Drosophila melanogaster: one gene and its partner. The gene in region 1 interacts genetically with each later gene. Each region holds a gene or a part of one and is shown in the gene's direction. Other genes may lie near its edges. The genes, in order: bun and upd3.

Region 1 (10,152 bases):
AAAATCCAAATATAGACCGCAATATGTGTACTTGCCGGAATTCACTTATGCAGCTCCCCATCATCGTCACGATCTCCGGATAAAGAAAGCCAAAAGAAAAAAATGTGGTCATTTCCCTGAAAGTTCTCCCTCCCCCCGGCCGACCTCAACCCACCGGCAACTGCCATTCAAAGTTTAACTCATTTGTATGCCAAACAGCAACAGAACTAAAAGTTTTTTCATGTGCCTCCCCCACTTGGTTATATTGTATATATATATATATTCCACTTTTTTTCCCTCATCTCTTTTTGCGCCGCTCGGCACTTATTACTTATTACTGGACGATGGGCAAGGGAAAAGCCCTAGACATGCGAGACATGGAAATTCATCATCAAAAATGAATAATGTCTACACTTAATGCGACCCTGGATGTTGCAGACCCGAAACCAAATCCAAACTCCAATCCCCCAGTAGTTTCTTCCCTTGGACACTGAGGTTAAGTCGCATCGCACCCTGCTGAATCGCAATTCGCACCCCATCAAATGGCGGGGCGTGAAGCCAATGGAAGGCCCGGCAAATCCGTGTAGATCGGAGATGGGTCCTGCGGAAGGTCCTTTGGGGGGGGGGGGGGTGAAACGGTTGCTTGAATATTAATTGTGCATATGTAGACGAAGACCGGAATGAAAGACCCCAGCACAAAGGGAAAAACAAATGCGCAGACTTACGAATGCAGGCGACGTGCATGGCCACTGCCAGGATTGATGCAGTGTGTCCTGGCACTGGCGATGGGGGCATTGAGTCCTCAGATCTCTGAGTCAGAATCTAATAGATTTCTGCCAAGTGTCGAGATAAAAACATAATGCGAAGGCGGCGGGCTGTCAAAGGGAAATTACTTATACGATGCGGAAGCGGATGATGAGTATGTCTCTCAGGGGAATCCAAGTAGGTATGCCACAATGCATTAAATACCTTTCGCAACTTTAATTAGAAGAAGAATTAAAGTAAGATTTAGTTCATCAATGGGTTAACTAGTAGCATTTTTAAGGCTAAAAATTATTCAAAAAATTGTATTATTTTGAATCAAATCCAAAAGAACTATTTCATTTTGATCCCAATGAAGCACAATTTGTTGCGCCTTACGTGTTGCAATCATTCAACAATTGCGACACTTATGATTATGTGCACGCCCTCAAGAGCCGTCAACCCCTACCAAAATCAGATGATAGATATCCATAGGATGGTATGGTGAAAAAGTGTGGCTGGTAAACAACCCCAAATAGCCAAAAATATTTAGCCATAATTTCCGACCAGACTTATCCACTACGAGATCTACTGGGCAAAAAAAAAAGAAATACTGAGCAAACGAAACATTTAATGAGCTTTGAAATTGTTTTTTTTCTTTGTGCGCCTAATTTAGTTCTGCAAAATGAAAACCATTGAAAATGAAAGGGAGCTCCACAAATCAGGAAAAGTTGTTATATTCCATAATGCTAGTCATAAATTATGGGCAATTAATATGTAACACGTTAGATTCGAATGCGATTGAACAGCCTCTAATGGCCAAGTCCTTTGGCCATTTGTCAGCCTGGATTTGGCCATAAAAAAGCTATCGCTGGATCCCCAAAAGGCCTACGCCCCCGTAAACTCCTTCACTTTCGCTTTCCAGATAAATCACCATTAAAAAAACGGAACGCGTTTCGCAACGGACAATCCGCTGGCCAAAGGGACATAAAATAAAATTAACTTAAAAAGCAAATTCACGCAGACATATTTTATGTGGCAATGTGGCAATTCGGCTTTTTTTGGCTCATAACTCAATGGGCTAATCCTTTAAATAGGACATTCATGTTATCCTGCCTAGACGTTGCGGCCATTAAAATTAAATTTATATCTAAAAAAGCTACGCAGATAGTCAACTGTCGCTCATATTGATATTTATGACATTTGCAATGCATTGTAAATCCTATTGGATTGTTATTAATGCTTATACGCGTATATGTTTTTTGTTTACTTGTCGGGAATCAGGGAATTGGATTATATATATATATGTTTTGAAAGAAAAAATATTTGTTTTTTGTTGATTATGCTGCACGTATTTAATTTTTTTGCTTATTTTAATAGCTTGATTTGTAGTTTTTCTACGAAAATTGCATTTCTTTACACTGACTAATTTTCTTACAATATCAACTCAATTTACAATTCATTACTGTTTATAATTTCTTTCTTGCACTGGCCGCAGGATATTGGTAAGGACTCTCTCATCCCCCGGCAGCACAAATTCGTGAGGGTTGATTGGAAAGTTTTTGAGCCATCTAATTGGACGCTTTCGCCTTTACGTTTGACATTTTGCGCTCTAAAAAAAAAATGTTTTGCTTAAATTGTTGAAATCCGCTTATGGTCCTTAAAGGACCTCGGCCATTTTGGTGTGTGCCCAGCACGTTTTGTATTCAGTTTCGAATTTCGTTCGCCATTCGAAACTCAAATTGATCGGTTTAAGTTCTATGCTAAGCTACTTAAATGTCCTTAAGTTTCTATAAATGTAAGATGAGCCTGTTTGATGTGCTTTAAGGATATTTCTTCCTTTTTTTCGGATGCTATGTTTTCTCTGTACACTATTTCCCACTCCATCGGCAACTAAAATCGATAATATGCAAATATTTTTTGCATCCCCCACACACACACACGCGCGTAAAACAAACATAAATGTGGCGAGTCCTGTGTCCTTTAGCCTCCCCTCCCCCTCTCCCACACACACACACACACACACAAACTAAATAACTAAATACGCATTAGCATCCTGTCGGATTTTCCTTTATTATTGCCACGGCCGTCGGCGAAACGAAAGAAAACGAGATGCGTGGGAGGCAGGCAGGCGTGGCACGTTGCACGCGCTGCTCCTGCGGCACAGTGGGACAAAAGCCATTTTATCCCAGATTTTTTGAAAGTAAGAGAAATAAGAGGAAATACCTCCCATCAAGTCCAATACCACAAACAACTTAGGGATAATTTCCTACTATATTATATTTGAAGTTAACCAGTAGTATCTATTCAGAAAAATTATAAAAACCAAATTAAATTAAGATAAAATTAAGAACATTACATTTACATTACAACATTAATAACATTTCTGCCCCACTGTGCAGTACCCAGGCAACTGCCAACGTTCCAAATGGCAACAAATTCAAACGAACTTGTATGCAGAGTGTGACTGAAAGCATTATTAATAGAGAATGTCGGCGGCTAAACTCAACCACATATACTGAAAGCACTCACATACACGCAAAAGGGATATAAAAGCAATAAGGACATTCATCTTCATAATTACGGGCAGCGAAATGAGAAGAAAGTGCGAGGATGCGAGGATACGATGTGGCATACGCAGAGAGGGAAATTCAAATGAAACGCAAAAGTTTTGCATATGCGTTGGGGATGTGTATGCTGCCAACGGAGTTGTGTATTTCCACCTACACAGAAGAAAAAAATATTTATACTCCGAATCACAAATCGTAGAAATGAAAACTTCACAGGCAAAGCAATATACTATGTAACTATGTAAACTGTGTAATTGAAAAATTCACAGTCACAAAAAAGAATCTAGAACTTATTTTCGTTTTATCATAATCTGAAATAACATGAGTTATTATATATTATCTATTTTTCAATACAGAAAAATTAAAACAATTTCAAAAAAATATACATATGTAATTTTTTAACCTTTTTCGCTCAGTGTGTGCTTGACCAAATGGGCATCTCATGGAAATGACAGTTAAGCCCGCCAACGTTGGTCACCCCAATGAATGCCGGAGCCAGCATTTTCTTCCCCACGAATGCAATCAAATGGAAATTGTTAAAGAAAAGGAAAAAATGCCAGTGAGCACGATTGAGTGGATCGCAGGACTTTTGGCATTTCACAAGGGTGCAACGCATCGGTCTGCACTAATTACGCACCAAACATGTACGGCAAATCGTCAAACCTTTGAATGCCACAAGCGAAAAAAGGGGCAGTTTTTGGGGGGCGAAAAATGTTTGCCAAATGTTTTTCCTGCCTGCTGCAATTTAAATGAGACGTTGGCCAAATGCGAGGGTGTCGCCTGCAGTCGCTGTGTGAAAGTGGGCGGGGCGGGGCGGGGCTGGTCAGTGGAATTAATTCTAATCCCGAACACGTTCCGTTGCGAACGAAGTGGTCAGTTGCGATATACTATATAAATATATATATAATTGTATATACATGCATATGTACATATATAGAACTCCTTAGTGGAGTTTCAATTGGTGGAGGGTGCGTCGATCATTAGCGTGATTTCTTTCCGCTTTGACAAGAAAATCAGAACGCTTCACTGAACTCCATCAGGACGAAAAAAAAAAGAAAAAAGGAATGTCTTAGTCGAATGGTGTGACTATTAGATACCCGTTAGCCAGCTTAAGAAAGTTGGTAAGAGTTGAATATATTTAAAGTCTTAACTGATTAAAGTTAGCAAGCAGAGTATCAGCAAGGTACTTAATTAAAAGAAGAACCAAAGAGTTAAATAAATGCAAGAAGGTAACAAGCAGCAGTGCGACTATCAGATACCTGTTACTCCACAAAACTTTCTTGAGAAGTCTTAGCGCTAGAACAGGAAATGCTCAAAAGCAGTTACATAATTACTGGCAATAATTTATGTTTATTTTTAAGCTTTAATAAACATCAATAGAAAAATTTAATAGAAAAAATAGAAAACTGAGCGCCAGTTCTATGTATCTATTTTGTTTATAAAAACAAGTAAAGTATACAAATTTAAGCATTGTTAAGGTATTAATTTTCTTAATGATTCAAATTATTTGTTACATATATTTTTATAAAGATTTACCAATCGAATTTTAGTCGTTTGAATTCGCTTAGATTCGTTGAAATTCGCTTCTAAATCAAAGCAAAGAAGCGAACCAATGTAAAATATATGTAAATGTAAAATTGTTGGTTCGGTACTTCGACGCGGGATCTGTTTAACGATTTTTTCAGTGATTTCGACACAAAAAGAGTAACTACTGCAGTTATTTTGCTAATAAAAAATTTAACTATATTATATGATAATTATAGATGATATGATATTAAATATAAATATAATTAAAATTTATAATAGTCCGATTTTTGACCAGAACTTATTATCGACATTATATAAGCCCATTATATACAAAAATGATTCCTAAAACAATCAAATAAAAGTAGAGTTGTGCCACTCGCCTTAGTATAACTTAGTTCTAAAGTATATGTTAATTTTATGTTAAATTCATTTTCGAATAATGGAAAAACGAGCGCCAATGTTGCGCTAGGGATTTCTAAACGATATGTAAACGATATCGTATATCGCACGACAATCGCCTGCGTGTAGAACTTAACAATCGATAGTTGTATTTAGCACAGAACCAAACCAAAAAATGCTAAAATATCAGTTTTGAACAGTATAGTGTGACCGCTATATGTGCCAAAAATCCCGTATTCAGTATTTGGTATTATTATTTGATATTATATTTTTATTGGCATTTTGAGTTGGGACAAAAACGCAAGGCAAGTTGTTGGTCTTTTTCGCTGTCTGCAGACGGATAAAAAGTAAAAGAACGCAAATCGAACGCGCCGCGAACGTATTGCAAAATCGCTTAACTCGCGGCGCCCTTGAAAACGACGAGGAAAAGCGAAAAAAGGCTGCGAGAGCTAGCGCAAAATCGAAGAAAAAACTGTGTATGTGCGTGCGTGTGAGTGTATGAGTGTGACGTGTGCGTCGCTGTGTGTGTGAGCGAGCTGGCATGCAGATGTAGAGATGTGTGTGCGCTGCTGCTGCGGCTGTGTGTGCGTGTAAATTGAATAAGAAAACGGAGCACAAATGGCACTGATGGAAAATTTATATGTGCGCTGAAAAATTAATTTATTTGCAAAAAGCCAAAGAGCTGCGAAAAGTAAAGTGACAAGCGGAGAGATGTGCAAAATCGAAAGAACGAAAAATTGTGGATTGCCGACTCTCTGCAGATTTGAAGAGAGTGGCAGCGAAAGAGAGACATAGAGAGAGAGTTTGTGTATGTGTGGGTGTGAGCCGCCTTTGCCAGGAAAACTAAAAAGAAAAAAATTCCCTGGCGTTAAAATTTGCACAAAAAATGTTGAATTCGATTGTTTGCTTTCCGCAGTTCGGCGTTTCGCTTTTTTTTTTTGCACAAAACTTTTTTCGCCAATTTTTCATGCACGCTTTTTCGTTTATTTAATTCCTCTCTCTCTCTCTCCATCTCTCTCTCACTCATTTTTTCGCTCTCCGAATCGACTCTCTCGCAGTGCTCTCCGCTTTTTGCTTGTGCACAGCCAAGTGTCAAAACTGTCATTTACCTTCCTTTTGTCCGATTAGCAAAACGCAACGAAAAACTAATATCCCATCCAAATTAAATTCGTGGCCGTTCGCTTGTTTTAAGTTTATTGTTTTACGCCAAGAAACAAGTAATTTTAAATTGTTTGACATACGCGTAAGTGTGGTAAAAATGTAAAAGAGAGGCCTTTGCCTCTTAGTGCAACAAATCGATCAGAAAGTAACCAATAAAAAAGCAAAGCAAATCGAAACATGTTTCAAAACGAAGGAAAAATCAGAGAAATTCAATGAAACAAAAGTGCAAAACAGTCGCGTAATTGTTGGTGTGTGTGTGTGTGTGTGTGTCAGCGTGTGTGCCCATCCTTTTGGTCTGCTTCTTCACTTTCGCTCAGTTGTTGTTGCAGCTTGCACTTTGTACCTTAGATTTTTCCCATTTCCTCTTTCCATTCCCATTTCTCCAAAACAGCTGGCCAAGCATTTGATTAACTCCAATATTCCTTCGTTTTCTACTGTATTTTATGTGCCATTTACCTTTGTTTATAATGTCAGCTGGCCCGGCATTGTTGTTTATTTTCTGTTCTGCTTCGCCTTGATTGTTTAGTCAAGTGTTAGTTTTGTTTTTGTGCCATTTTGCAATTTTCTGCTTATTTGCCATCCGATATTATGGGGTAATTTTTTTTTCATATGTGATTTTTAGTAGAAATTCATATAAAAAATTGTGTGTTCTGTTTGGTTAACGGTAACTCGAATTACACACAAGTGTTTAGAATTATGGATACGTATTTAATAACAGCGGTGTGCAATAATAGTAGATTTGCAAAAACCAACCAGCATTTCTGAGAATATTAATTTCTAGTTTATGAACTAAAATATGAAATTCACTCTGTATGAGTACCCTTTTTATACAAACTTGAAATGAATAAATCTGATTAGCTTTGAATGCCCTTGAACCAATCTACAATATCTTCACGATCATAATGATCATCCCTTTTAACGCATCTCCGATTTCAAAGCAAAACAAAATAAACCTCAGGCCAGATCGGTTTTCTTGTCAAGCCGCGTGGCAAATTTTTCTGCTTACCATGCACCATTTTGTAACTATAACTGGACGATATATTTGCGTTTAGGAATCGGATACACTTCAGATTTCTGCCAACTCTTTGATACAACCGATGGCACAAACTCAGAAAGGTTTGGATTGTTTTGCGAGTTACTTTCATAGGTATCGGTATCAAGAAGTTGCAAGAAATAAGCTGGGGTTTCTTGAACAGGGATCTATCTGCATAAAAGAAATGCGTGTGCAGACAGTCACGTCGACCAAACCAGAATTCAATCAGTTCATTTTTTTTTGTAATGTAGGAATTTCGGGGTTGATTGCTAGCGGAAAAGTACCAATCTTTCAACAACTGGTTAACTTTTTGAATGAAACCATCATAAAAAAATAACTAATTATTTTATCTAGGGTATTGTCACTTTCGGTACATTTAACACCTATTTGCACCAATTTTCTTTGATGTCTTGTTGCTTTATTTACATTCTGCGACTCAATTCAATTGAGAAATTATATTCGATTTCAATTGTATCTGAGTATCTCATGGATGCATTGTCATTGTAATCTCTAGCTTGTTGTTGTTCCTTTTGCAGCCGCCTCCTCCTCATCTTCGTCGCTGCTCTTTTCTCGTTTGATAAACATTTTCATTGCCTTCTCTCTGCATACATCGCTCTCTCTCGCTCTTTCGGGTTCTTTTACTTCCTCCTACAACGCCTTCGTTTTTCTTTTCCTTTTCCCTTGCCATTTTTTTTGCATTGTGAATCATTTCCTTGCGGAAAGGAAAAGAGCGAAGAAAAGGTGGGAAGTGCCTGTGGGTGAAAGACAGGAAAGGAAAGTCACTGATTGAAAAGTTATTAACTCGGTTGAATTTTCATTATGCATTATTTAACACCCTGGTGTCCTTAAAGTTCAGTTTTATATCTGTCAGCAAGGTATAAATTTTTAGAGGATTTTTTAGAGGATAACCCATTTATTTTTTGTTTCTATTTTTTGCTCCTAAAGGCCTTTTTTGTTATATCCCATTTTCGTTTTTGTTTTTACCGATAGTCTTAAAGTTTAGTAGGGCTTGATAAGGTTTTGATGGTTTAGCTGAGAAAGCAGCAGTGCATTTTATTACCGTATTTTGTATTGGCAATATATCCTGGCTTACCTTTGATGCACTGCGAACAATCGGGACACCTTTCCTTTTGCTTTTCATCTTCTTCGGCTGCTGCTATCATCATCAATATTGATTACCGGCAGCTGTCCGAGAGCGGGAGAGTGCGAGCGAGCAGCCGCTCTCCTTTTGCGGTTTGTTTGGTATGCGGCCCCCACCCCGTCCCGCCCACTTGTAGGCGCCCACGTTGGTAGGAAGGAGCATGTGGATGTAGATGCGGTTGCGGAGGGGCCAACAGGCTGCTCTCGCTCTCTTGCAGCTCCCGCTCTCCGATTGCAATTTTCTCAACGCGCATTCGCTCGCTCACACTCACTCTCTCTCGCTCGCGCTTGCCTCTTTCTGTACTATCTGTTGTAGTTGCTTTTCATTACATTTGTTGTTGTTGGCTTGCCATCGATTTTATGCTTTGTCGTTGCAATTAGTTCTTCTTCTGTTGCTTGCTTCTTGTCTGCACTTTTAGTTCTCATTTTCTTTTCACCCCATCTCCTTGTTGTTGCTTTTGCTATTGAGGAAGGCAGTGAGCAGAGGCAGAAGTCCTCCTCCTCCTCCTTTCCATTCGCCGATTTGTTTGTGTGCGAAATCTGGTGCCTACAGCGATACTTTGATTATTGACTGCCGGGGGGTTAAAAGGGGTCCCAAGTTTATTGTCCAGAAGATGAGTTACAAGAATGGATACTCCACTTCCAGTGGTTCTTGATGAATTGGGTATTCTGGTTCGGTTTGGGTGTGCGCTTTTTCAATGGATTAAATTCTCTAATTGAGCCAATTTCGTCTAGATTAATTATCCATTCTAAAGAGCTATTGGTTTTCATTCATAACAACTGATGCCCAATTACCACAACTTTACTCCCTCAAATTATATTCGAAATCAACTTAAGTTGAAGAAGAAGCTTTGGGCCAACACCTGCGTGGCTCAAGAACAAGGCCAATAGACTCTTAAACCCCCAACAAACAGCAGGCCAAAAAACTAAAAAAAAAAAACAAAAACAAAAATACCCACCTTGAGAGAGTGCTACGACCAATGTTGACCTATAACTGATTTTTTGTTATTCAGTTGTTCTTCTGGTTTGCTGGTTTTGTTGGTTGTCTCTTTTTTTCGACTCTCCTAGCCACAGAATAATCAGATTTTTTTGCGTCGTTTATAACTCGATTAGGCAAAAGAAATAAAACAAAATTAAGCGAGAGAGAAAGAATAAAAGAGCAGCGTCAAGGTCTTGACTTTGCCTTCTGGCAGGGCAAACGCAGAGTTCAAACGCCACTACAGTAATCACTCAAAAGTCTATATATGAATTATTATATAAGTTTAGTATTCAGGTCAACAAAATGTCCCTCTAAACAAAACCGTTGTATGAAAGATATTGTTTTGTATATTTAGATATTGCTTTAATGACTCAATATTGAATATTCAATTTGATCTTCTTATTTTTGCTTAAGACCAAAAAAAAATTAATTCAAATTTTCTAAAATTTAAAAAACGATGGTTAATTATGAAGAATCCTTATCGAGGGCCCACTTTACTTAAACACACAAGTACACTCTCTTCTAAACAGTCCACGCAATTTATGAATGATCGTCGAAAAGCTTACGGTTATTAACCAACACAAGTGCGGAAAAAACGGCGCGTGTGCCCGAAAATGTTTGCA
Region 2 (13,206 bases), on another chromosome or scaffold:
CAACAGCTAAGCCAAACAGGCAGGCAAAGTATATCATCACAGCCACCTACGGACGGGATCTGGAGGGACTGGCAACGGCACTGAGGATCCTTCGCTCCCTTTGACTTCGGGATCTGGCAATTGGCGGACGACGATGAGAGAGCAACGCCGCCACTGCCACAGCAGCAGCCACCGCCTTGGGCGATATGGGCATGGATCTGGGTATGCGGAGTTAAGCATGGGTATGGGTTAAGCATGGGCATATGGGTTAGACGCCGACACCGCCGATAATGATGAAGGTGTTGGCGATGATGATGCTGATGACGCGAATGCGCCTGAGCCAAAGCTAAAGTCAAAGTTAAGGCTCCACCTTTTGCCCCCGAGCCCCCGCCGCTCACCACGCCCCCTGGACCGCATTGTTCGCTACTTTTGGCCAGTCTTAAAGGTACATCGAATACCCTGCTACTTGGTATTCCTTATGGGTTTCATTAACAGTATGAATATGCAATATGAAATAAATACCCTTTCATAAAATAAGTTAATCTTCAATGTTATATATCAAAAATATTTATAAATATTTGGTGGTATAATCTGTTTAAATATGTTATTGTAGTTAACCACAAGCAAAGCTGACATATTCATATAAAATAAATCTTGAGGTAAAACCCATACCAAGCCATGCAGCTAATCCCCAATCTTCTAGACTCCCCATCGGTGTAGGGCATTCCGCGGGGCTGTGCGACTGGCGCCGGTTCGCGATGCGCCGCCGCTAAATGGGATCAGTTTTGGTAACGAGTTAACGAGTTGATTTCACTCCAGCGATTGCCGCCGCCGCCGCAGTCGAACCGGATTAGCAGTTGCATCCCCTCTGACCGCCGATCGTCGACCACCATCCAGCACCAGTATCCACCATCCAGTATCCAGCACTCGGCACCGGCATTCGGCACCGAGCATCCAGCATCCAGCATCCAGTATCCACCATCCACCATCCACCAGCCGCCGACCGGCTCCATCTTTGTCTGCGTCTGTGCGGTGGCCATGGCCAATGTCTACACAACAAGGTGACGGCTCATAATGACGGGCCATGGCCAAGAACGTGAGCACGGATGGGCTGGGCTGCCATGGATCGGCTGGGATCAAATCGCGCTGCGTTGAGGCGTTTGCACCTCCCATGGATGAGTGTGAGTCGCCGGTTCCCGCTTCCTTGGCCGCAGCACGGCGAGAAAACGGGGGACTGCTTTTAATAGCATAGGTTAAAACAAATTATGGATTTATATATATATATATTGTATTAAATCGTGTGTTAGGTACGATAAATTATTAAATAAATACTTTGATGAAAAGATGGGCTCACAATAATAAATATATTTAGTTAAATATTATAAGTTACTAGCTATTTGAAAGGCTATAAATTCATATTATATTATTCATAAGTAAATGTTGTGTAGCGCGCCATTTCTCGCAGTGCACTGTGCCTTTGATGGTCGCTCCATATGCATCCATCTTCCATATCTCCGCCACCCTCCCCTCGGCCAATGCTCCTGGTGGTGGTGTGGCTGCTGCTGCTGCTGTGGCTCCGTTTTTGGGGCTTTGTCGAGGGGCGTTACCCGGTGATCATCACGCATTTGCGCCCCCCCTCTGCCACTCCGCCCCCTGTGCCCGCTTGGCCAACCGCCCGCCCCCCCTGGGAAGCCTCTGCCCCCGCCGGGTCTGCCTTAATGGGTGTTATTTTGTTTTGCCGTAAATATTTTTGCAATGGGCGCTAATTAAGTTTGGCTCTTTTTGGGCTCTTTTGACTGCATCCTTCGCACTTTGTTATGTGTGAAACTTTTAAATTTCGTTGGGTCGGCAAAGATGAAAACCGCCGTGTGGTATCCCCCCAAATTGGCGGGCATTAAAGGCCCCGCGATGCCCCTGGCCCCCCTTTGCCCAGCCCCATCTCTGCGCAGGAAGTATCAATACGGCCAGCTATTAATCTGCAATTGCAAATTGCTCATACGCCACGTGGTGCTCGTGTAGCGACTATCAATGAACTATTGTAGTTAGTGAACGAGTGCGCGTAGAACGATGAGTAAAACAAGAGGAAAATCAAGCAAAAAGCCAAGAGCCATCGCCCCTGCGACACTGCAACCAATTTCATTAGCCGTAAAATATTTGGCATTGTTTTCTGGCCCCGCGATTTCGCTGCTTTTATGACTCACTTTCACCGCTGCTTCGCTCTCCTGACTCTCTGACTTTGCAGCCTTTAGTTGCTGTTTCAAATCGATTGGACAATAAATTAGCATTATGCGGTTACAGCCAACTCAAATTCCTCGCGATGAGCTGGCATCTGGCAGCATCTCGCCGACGGTCGCGGGTTCAAAGTTCTCTGCGGCTGTCTTATCACCGCCTAGTCAAGAAATTTCTAAAGATTGCAATCGCGATAGACATTATATCATTATTGGGGAATTTTCACATGGCCGAAAAACGAAATGATTTCTATGCTCACTCATTTCGAGTGCGATTTGATAAAATGGCTAACACTTGACGCGGCGCACTATAAAACACAATTTATAGCTGATCTTATCAGAAGAACTCGCCGGAAGTTCGTGTATGTAGGTCAGTGGAATCTTCTATGACTATACAACAGCATGTTGCACGAAAGAAAAACTCCGGGTAATTCAGTTAATGCCCATGAAGATATTTAATATAATTCATATTAATTATATAAAGTATTGATAGAAACTTATGAATATCTTGGAAATTTTCCCAAGGCTTTTGTACCTGGGATTCTACGAAAATCTAGTGTATAGTTGTGCTTCACCGAATCAAATGATAGAATGCTACCCAATTGAATGTGCTGAAAATTTCAAGATTACTTTTCCACCAAATTAAATCGTTCTCGAAGCACATTAGCATACCCATTGCGCTCAATCGCGAAATACACCTAATGAGCCACTTAGAATGTAGCATTTCGATCGCTTTCCAGTGTAATTAATTAGTTCCACATGTAAAACGAGAAAGTTCTTCCCCTCGAAAATTGCAAGTTAGCTTATGTACGTGTCTACGTACTATGCACACTGCCAGTCAAGCCAAAGTTCATTCAAGTTTTTCCCCTTCGAAGTGAAAAAAAAAAAAAATAATAATTTTCCACCCCAACCGCAAATTGTTTCCACTACATCCCAATCAATTTCCATTTCCATTCATACAGTCTCGAGAGTTTCCCCATGTGCCGCACGCGTGTCTCACATGATTGCGGCAAAAGACGTCAAAAATATTACTCATACGCCACCGCCGCTGGCACCCCAGTCATCGTCATCGATTGTCATGCATTAGCCATTAGGGTTTTACACTAACGCCACCGAATGGCAGGCACAGACAATCATTGGATTGCGATAATATACATACATATAATATATATAGATACCGCAAACACGGCCAATTTTGGTCAATTCGCAGCGAGTCGAATCAAATTGAATCGAATTCGAAATATCCGCCAATTGGACAGATCAACACGATAAGCCGAAATCAAAAGCAGCAGTTACCCGATCCGTACCAGTGTGCCTCGTACAATGGTTTAAAAATAGCTCGGCCAAATCATGACACCGATCACCATCCGTAAGTTTGGCCGCCAGCGGTGGGCGTTGGGCGGCCGACGGCGAGTGGGAGTGGCAGTGGCAGTGAGCGGTACACGGTACATGGTACGCGGCAAAGCGTGAACCGTAAACGGTAAACGACAAAACGGAGACGTCGCCACTTTGGCCATGAGTAACGATGAGTGCTCAATTACTTTTCGATTGATCATGGTTTTGGCGCGCGGTGAAATTTAGACCGCCACCCCGCAGTTGCGCCTACCCCCTCTCGGCATCCGCATTCTGTCGACCGGTGGAGCGTAGTCGGCAATCATGAATGAATCGCCGTGTCTGCGAGCGTGAGAGCCCGGCTCGCGGTTGAACAAATCGTGTCGTCATTGACGGCTGTCGGCGGCCGACGGAGCGTATGAGTAATATTCTTGTGAAATTGAACGGAAATAACTGAAATTCATGCCAACCCCCATAAATTGCCGACTATTTGCGGGGGTTACTTCGGAACGGAACAAAACGGAACGGAATGGATCGTTTCGCTTCGGATCGGAAACGATCGTCTCGGAATCGAAATCGGAGAACGGGAGATCCGGAGAAACGGTGAATCGGAAGTGTGTGCCGAGTGAAAGTCATTCGATAAGAGCCAAGTAGCCGCTCATTTCGTTCCCCAGAGACCGGCAAATAGGCAAATTACACATGTTTTGTTTATCTGCGAGCGGGAGAGACAGTGAATAGCTCTCCCAGCGACCTTATCTGGTGGAGATCGGCCCAGTCGACGAATCGATCAATCACTCCACTCCAGTGCGCCGATTATGTGTCATCCCCCAAAGGGGAGCGCTGGAGAGCTGTGAGTATTTCTCATCGTGTTGAAATCTAGCTGGCCTAATCATTCACTAAACGTTTGTATTTTTCACGCCCATTACGACTGGGTAATATTGGTAATAAATCTATTATGTTCGGAATGGCCGTAATATAGAATATTTATGACATTTGTTACTAGTTCACTAACCAAATATTGGTCTCAATCGAATAGCTATTGGATGATTGTACTTGTTGTTGCCTAGTTTAGATGTTATCTCTCATATTTAGTATTATTAAAGTTAACTAAAGTTAGTTAAAGTTATACTTTTCTTCTGCTTTTTTCCATGCTTTCTTCAGCGTATCTTATTGCTCCTAGTTGCTAGTACCCTGGGTACAGGGTAACCCATTGTCCACACCCAGCCGCTATGAGTCGTTTTTGTTTTTTTTTATCGCTCAGCTGTGCTTTTTTATGGCTTTCTCGCGTTGTTTTTGGCACTCGGCGAATGTTTTGAGCGCTTTTCTTGCGATTGCACACTCATGACAGCCGAGAGAGCCTCTCCCTGTCTCTCTTCCGCTTCTTTGGCGATTCGAGCGGAGCGAACATGACCGGCGGACTGGGCGTCCGCCTCCTCATTAGTATGCTCATAGTAACTGAGGAGTTCAGTCAGTCTCCGCCGGCCACAAAAACAAAAAACTAAATATATATACACACATAACCACTGCACGCGAAAAGGCGAAAAAAAAGTGAAGAAACGCTACTGCAAAAATTGTACAAAAAAACAACGCAAAGACGGCGAGAAAGCCACTCCAATCCACTCCACAACACTCCACTCCACGCTCTCCAGCGGCAAGAAATCGACAGCGCTGTTGACTTCGACTTCGATCGAATCGGAATCAAATCATAGCAGACAGTCGAAGGCAGCGCGTCGACACTTAACGCGATAGTTCGTCCAGCCGCGATATAAAGATACAAAGATACGCAGCCAAATTCAACAAATTCAACAAATTCGACAAAGTCGCCTGATTCGCCTGATTCGCCAAATTCGCCAAATCGCGATCGCTTTTATTATTGGTTAGTTTTTTTTTTCGTTTTTTTCCCCGTTGCATTCTGGAAGCTTCTTTCCGGCAAATACACACAAAGAAAAGACTAACAGCGTTACAAAAGCAAAGTGCGTGTCAATCAAGTACGAATTTTTGTGCGGAATTCCCAGCCAACGATTTTTATGTAAATGGTAAGTACAAGTAACTACCGCAGGCGCGTATTTTTTCGGGGATTTTATATTTGCCTTTTCTGCTGCCGATAAGAGAATTCACCTGTGCGTGCTCGGTTTGTTGATAGGTACAGGTGTCTTTCGCTCGATACTTCTGAACCCGCAGAGTTCTTGCCAAGAGCTGCAATGGTCAGGTGAGGTGTCACGTACCCCACACATGATGAAATTGGCCCCAAGGAGGAGGTGTGATGGGTTTAGGGATTGGAGATGGGGATAGGGCTCACAACCGAAAGGGACCATCATCTCCAGCCTCTCATGGGGGAAACTCATTCGTGAATCACTGACACTGTTTGGTGATAGGCATTGAAAACAAGTTATAAATTCATGATGCACAATATGTTAAGTTCATTTTTCCACATGTGAATCATAGCATTTTAAAGTTATTACAATTATGAAAAACCCAAAGTTATTTGAAAACCTATGGACGTTATTTTCGGATGAGTATGACTAATCGTACAGGGGCGACTTGCATTTATTTGCTATTACTATTCTAACTTATTGGGAACTTATTGTTCCATTCAACCACACAACTTATGCAACTAACTTAATAGTTATTGCAACTGTAAAAAAAAACCCTTTTGACGAAAAATGGCCAAAAAAAGAGCGAAACATGTGAAATTAATTTACACGTTTCGTGCCGCGGGGGTGGTGGTGCCAGTGGTGCTGGTGGTGCTGGTGGTGCTGGTGGTGCTGGTGGTGCTGGTGGTGCTGGTGTTGCTGGTGTTTGGCAGGAATTGAAGATTGGATGCGTCAGCGGTTGTCACTACAAGCGTTAGCGATTCGGCACAGACAGGAGGACAAGGTCCGGGCAAAGGGACCGCGATAAAGAGCCGGAGAGCGAAAACGCACGGCAAGAGAGAGTGAATTTCACAAAAGTTTGCAAGACCAATGTTTCGTTGACCATGCTGCTCGATGTGTAGGAGGCGTGTGGAGCGATTGGAGCCTACCCCACCAGACAATATGAGATAGCACCGCCACCGCCAGTGCGGTGGCACCACTATCACCACTACCTTTGCAAGTCGACCTCCACCCGACACACGATGATTCATGATAATTTGGCTAAATAAAGAAATTTATTTTTAATTTGAAATAATTATTTCAGCCAGATAAAGACGGCACTAGCAATGGCCGTAGCTGTAGCTAAAGCGCAAACGATAATAATAACAAATCGCGCATGCTTCGGGCCCCCCAAACAATTGCGATTATATTTATATGTGTGCGTATGGGTTTGCGCATAAGTGCGTCCAGCGGGAATCCCCAAGCAGCCAACAATCATCATAATTCGCCCACTCAGGCACTAACACACACAAAATAACACAAAACAATCGCACCACAATCACACATCCGTACCATCACGTGCGCGAATTTTGGTTTATATTTGGCAAAAGTTGGCCAAGATAATATATAACCAGTCGGTTCAGTTCAGTTGTCCGCGCAGCGTCCGTTAGTCTTGACTTATGGTAATTGGTCCCTCGGCAGGGGGAATACATTTGGCCAACCGAACCCTCTTTTCGGCCAAAGTTTGAGTATGTAAATAACTGAAAATCGAACATACGTATTTGATTTTTTTTTTTTTTTTTTTTTTTTGGTAACTAATAATAGTATAACCTGTTGCTAGACTTTTCTCATGCTAAACACCGACGACGTCTGACGAAGATGTGACGTCAAGAAGTCGTAGTGAAACTCGAGCCATTATGGGTGGGAAAAAAATGAAACTGTGTTATCTTGAGGGCTTTGCGTGTTTGTATAAATTTTGTTTAGCTTATTTCGGAACTTTTTCCATCCACAGACGACAGCTGACCGCCCGCTCGACGTCAGCAGGAGCAGCGGAAGCGGTAGCCGGAGCGGTAACAAAACGGCCAGAACCAGGAATCCAGTGGAACCGCAGCCGCAACCGCCGTTCGTGGATCGACGACGACGCCTGAACAGGAACTGGTCACTGATCTTACTCGCCTTGGCCATGTCCCAGTTTGCCCTCTCCGGCGGCGGTTGTGGCGTCTCAGCGGCGCCCAGTCACCTGGCCACCCCGCCCACTGACAGCCCCTCCAGTCCCATCAATCCCACCAATCCCCTGAAGCACCTACAGAAGCGTTCCAGAGCGGCCAACTTCCGGCTGACCTTCCAGCAGAAATTGAATGCCAGCAGTACGCATCTGGACTGGGAGAACACCTGCAATCTGAAGCCCACGGGTCTGAACGAAACGCACAGCAAGGCGAAACGCTGCAAGAAACGCCAAAGGGTAAGTTTCAAGCGAAAGTTGGCTCTTAGCTGATAAATAAATTGGCACAACTAATTCACACACTATTATCTATATGTATATATGTATTTGTATCTATTTCAGATCCTGCAGAATCTACAGAACCAAACGGGCCGCGAGCTGCGGGGCATCCAGGCCGAGGACAAGGCCAGGATCACCACCAATGCGGACAAGCTGGCCACAGTGAGCACCAAGACTCTGGACATTGTCGAGAAGAACAAGTGGCGATTCTATAAGGGAAACTACAGATTCCTGCCCCGTCTGAATCTCACTAGCAAACAGGTGAGTGTCGTCCATATGCCATAAGCATAATATATGTATGCATATATCGTCATGTGAAGAACTACTGGATCATTTACAAACATCAAACACTCGCGGGGGGTTCTTCTGTTGCCAGGGAGCTTGAGGTGATAAAAAAGAGGGTCACGTGAGGCGTTCGCCCCGTTCACCTGCGTAGGTGCAAACAGGCCGTCACAAGCTAATGGCGAGTGGAGCGGTCATATGAGTCCGAATCCGAGGGAATCGTGCCGCCAGCCGCGAGAGTTGTTGCCATAGTTTGTTTGCGTGATTAAGGGAATTTATCAATCTATATAGAGGGGTATGAAGGAAACTAAGGAAATAAAGATTGAGATATGTATATAGTTCATATGTGCTAGCTTGATGATGGAGTTGTTTTGACAACACTTCCAACAGCAACTTGCATTGAGCACTTAAGTGCCGCCAACTTTTCGATCGCACCTCGTTCGTTTTGTCAGCATTAGCCGGCATTTCGGGACGCCCCATTAACCGTCGATTTGCATTGGTAGCAAACAACAACAGCACGAGGGAAAACATTAGCAATCGATGCCATAACCACATTAAGATTAAGAGCAAATTGACGGCGCGCGCGCTTTTTTTTTCGATTATTGTTTATATAGATCCATCGCGATCCCCCCCAAACCGGCCTTGATCCAGCGATCACGTTTTATGGCCAATCCGTAGATTGGATCGATCCGAATTGAGGCTGAAGCTGAAGCTGAAGCTGTATCTGAATCTGAAAACGAAGTTCAATCCGAATCTCAATTCGTATCTGAAGTGGATAATTTGTTGAATAAACAAAATAAAATCAAGCGGCACATTTTATTTACACTTTTGACAAGTAAACAACAACAAACAGAAGCTAATCAAATTTCGAATTGGATTCGCCACGGACATCTGAATTATGGCGAGAGGAAAATTATGGAGCTTTTCAATTTCGAGACCCTCGAGTTGCGGACAGTTTGATGTTAATAGAGTGGAACCGTTTAGTAATGCCAAATTGTCGGGGTCTGGGAATTCGGAAATATTTTCGCACTGACACGGTGAAATGAGCAAGACCAGTTGAGGAAAAACCCGGAGTGACCGATAGGCCAGTGAATAATGGAAGTAATGGAAGTAATATAGAATGTGGGCTCCGGAATGTGGATGGCGGTACTTGCGAAATGATTGCCACGGAGTACCAGTCGATACGTGACCAAGTATGACAAACGCCGTGCACTAGAAAGGGTCTAGTCCACATTTCAATGAGGTGGATGTCGCTTCGTGAATCGGTCGAGATCGGCTTGGTTGCCCCAACGTGCTAATTCCTTGGTGTCCGGGAAAGTTTCGTATAGGACAGTAATATCTGCAGATAACCAGATGAGTGTAGTTCACTTGGCGTGGCCATAAACAGATACTTTTATGAGATCGCAGGTGCGGCGAAAAATCTCAAGTGTGGTCAAGATCCGCGAAAACCGCCGACTCACTTCGAGTCAGCCAAAAGTCGCGTTCAGAGTGCAAGTGGAGTCTCAAAGGTCGCCACCCCCTGGGAATTTGGTTTTTATTTTTTTTTTTAATTACCCGTTCTGCTAAACTTAGCCAGTCCCATCATAGTTGCCATTCCATTTCATCCATTCATTCACTTAGCCAGCGATTCCACTCAATCGTCTATTCAGGGCGATGAGCAAAGTTTGGCTTTCGCTGAAATTTCTCAATTGTCGTCATAGTCTGGGAAAAGTACCTGGGCCTCGCGGATCACACTGTGAGAAAATGAGGGTAACAATTGACTGCCTTCGCTGCTTATAAGTACTCTTTCGTGTTGAGTTTTTCAGTAGATACCTTTGATCACACACTACTCGATTCGACCAGTCGATCCACCTTTTCTCACTCTGCACCAAGCTCGGGAACTTGCCGCTCGGGATGTGTGTCAATATTTGGCCAATATCGGCTACGTCAATGCCAATTGTGCCAACTAATTGTTGACATCCCCGGAACAGAGTGAAACGGAACCCCCAGATCGGAACCCGATCCGACGACGAGGTGGCAAACGGGACTGATAGAAGAACTCTATATTTAGATGGATCGTTTCGATACCGAGAATCGACGGCCTTTTGACGTCATGCATTCGCTCATACCCACCCAAAAAAAAAAAGGAAAACAACGAATTCGCTGATACCGCAGCGGATCGGTTCGGAAGAAGAAATGACCTTAACGATAATATGTTTGAGTAGTTCACAACGCTCGTTTATTGCAAATGACACACACACGCCGTTTGTGGTCGTTGATCGGGGGGATACGGGGCGCGGAGCGTATACGCGATATGTGATTCATATGAAACAGAGCCGTGGATTCCCCCGAAACTCCAGCGAGAGCGAGCGGGAGCGGGAGCGGGAGCGGGAAAGGGTGAGCGGCGGCATGCGGCGAGCGCGACATGAATGAAACGAAGAGCCAACGTCGACGTCACGAGCGGCCAGCCGAAGCGTAGCCGAGAACTCAAAAAACAGTTACGAGAGAGCGGCGCGAGCGTTCGGCTTGATTTTCACTTTCAGCCGCCGGCCAGATAAGTTTCTGGTCGTTGGGATGAGGGGAGTGTGTGTGCGATGGGAGGGGGGGGGGGGGGGGGTCCGCAAAGGGGCTGGTGGGCTCAGTTCACTCAACCCAAAAAATTCGAACTATAGGATCGACTATATACACCATATGCGATATGGATATCGCAATTTCCGCCAAGGTTTCGCCGTTTCTAATACTTTAATTTTACAATTGGGGATTTTTATTGCAAGCGAGTGCAGAAAAAGGTTTATTCAATAAAGATAACCCCGACCTTCATTCATGGCGATACAAGTAATTAAGGCGTTAAATACTTAAAAATATCATACTTTGCCATATAATTGTTTTATTTTCAATTCTATGCTGATATAATCAAGGATTATGGAGTTGATCTCCAATATGGGTTGGGGTAACTATGATGATTAAGTTGGGAATATATAAGTTTACAAGTTCATGGACAGTTAATGATATAAATAGAGCACTTAATTTAATCTAAAAACTAGTATATATAAAATGGGTGTACAAATATGAATCCATAGATTCTTATCAACAGAGAACCTCTCATTGCAGATCAAAGTTATCAATTAGTCATGTTCCCATTCATAGTATTCATATTTCTTGACAAATCAATTTAACTAACCCGCTTCCAATCTTTTTCCTTGCCCATTCCAGTTGAACCTTCGCCACGCCCATCGCGACCTGCAGATTTACGTGGGCGCCTTCACGTACATGCGCAACATCAAGTTGCACTGGGACCTGGCCAACCTGCAGGCGAAGAGCGTGCTCTCCGACGAGCTGGGAAGGATGCGGAAGTCCGCCCGCGAGGTGCTCTGCAGCGTGGAGGAGGCCATCAACCTGACCAACCTGCTGTACACACCCAACAGGCAGCGGGCGCCACAGCCGAGGGGCCAGAAGAAGCGGCGCCAGGCCCAACCGGTGGTCACCTACAAGATACTGCCGCGCAAGCTGATGGAGAAGCGTCTGCAGCAGTTCAACTCGACGTTGGTGCCACTCGTGGAGCTGCACCAGCAGGCGACCTTGGCCGCACGCGGGGAGGATGTACCACCACCGCCCGACGACCTGATGGTCCTGGAGCAGCACGCCCTCTTCACCAAACTGAAGTTTGTGCAGTATCTCAAGAGTATCCGCAAGATACTCGCGAACCAGCGTAAGAGTCTGTGCAAGGCGACCACCCACGTGCCAAAGGCGATCCAGAAGAAACTCTAGACGAGAGCAGAGAGCAGAGAGTAGAAAGTAGAAAGTAGCTATAGCCAAGAGCTCAGAACCGGCGAAACCTCCATTCCACACAACGAGGCTCATTCCATGAAGACATCCTTAATTTATTAAACATCCAATATTTATTACTCACGCCACGCCACACCAGTCACGACAAATCACGAGGAATCCCCGACAATCACAAGGCTATGAAAAACCGAATAAGTAATGTGAACAATCCACCACAGACGTGAATTTGAGATACCCAGTTTTCTCGATATTCTAACACGATAGTAATGTTTTCTCCGACTAAATTTATTATTATTATTTTTTTTTTTTTTTTTTGATAGCTTTAAGTCCCATTGTATTATTTATTATTGCAACTCGCCAACAATCTGCCGCACATTCCGCTAGATACTAAGTATACTAGATATACTTTGCCTTGTATTACGATGCTGTGATAGTAGATGATTAAAGTAAACACAACGCTCCGCGACGGCCACAAGCTATATATCTCCCCCGACTATATTTACACACTGATATATGTATGTACGATTTACACCTCTATGTAACTTAGCTTTGATTAGGAATTAACATTTTAGACATCAAATACAAACACAAATATACAAATATACAAATACAAACCATTGAAAGTACAAATGCATCGAGAGTTTATCTGCGGATTGGGTGGTCCTCTCCTGGCGCCATATCAATTACACTCATGTGTGGGGGTATAGTATATACGAGATATATTCCCACCGAAATTGCGCATACGCACCGTGCTGGATGAGATGTAAGAGAGACATAAAAGTGTCCAAACAATTCCCCTTTACGATCGTCGCCGTGGCTTTAATTGCAGCAGAATTACGCGGCATTTATAGACTTGTTCAAATATTTTATGAGCCATATAATAATTCTCTCCCCTGGGTTTTGGGTTTGGGTTTTTGGCTTGGGTCGGGATCGGGATCGGGATCGGAATCGGAATCGAGGTCGTAGTCGTAGTCGGAGTTGGAGTCGGGGTCACCTTTGTCCCTTTTTGTCAGCTGCACACAAAACACCAGCGATTTAACGACAAGAAATGTTTGTCGCCGCTCTTGATTCACCATTCTCCATTCTCCATTCCCCGTTCCCGAATCTCCCTTCTCGGCTCTTCCTTTCACAGATCTCCAATTCTCCCGGCCTTATCGCTGGGCCGGAATCTACGCGCGCACCTTCACTGAGCCCTGGATTTTTGATGTTCTCCACTGCGGTTTGCCGGAGTACCCGAATCGGGTTTATCGCACACAATCAGCAATTG

What was found.
Region 2: of bun (region 1) and upd3, changing one suppresses a phenotype caused by changing the other (phenotypic suppression), as found in Drosophila melanogaster (one study listed by BioGRID).

Annotation. Positions count from the first base shown.
Region 1 is NT_033779.5:12,541,950-12,552,101, reverse strand, and holds the start of bun (bunched), read left to right. Parts: upstream 1-5,490; 5' UTR 5,491-5,692; exon of another isoform or gene 5,693-6,459; intron 6,460-7,758; exon of another isoform or gene 7,759-8,162; intron 8,163-8,503; exon of another isoform or gene 8,504-8,926; intron 8,927-10,152. UniProt on the Drosophila melanogaster protein: Probable transcription factor required for peripheral nervous system morphogenesis, eye development and oogenesis.
Region 2 is NC_004354.4:18,272,031-18,285,236, forward strand, and holds upd3 (unpaired 3), read left to right. Parts: upstream 1-5,202; 5' UTR 5,203-5,572; coding exon 5,573-5,575; intron 5,576-7,403; coding exon 7,404-7,853; intron 7,854-7,955; coding exon 7,956-8,153; intron 8,154-11,366; coding exon 11,367-11,921; 3' UTR 11,922-12,566; downstream 12,567-13,206.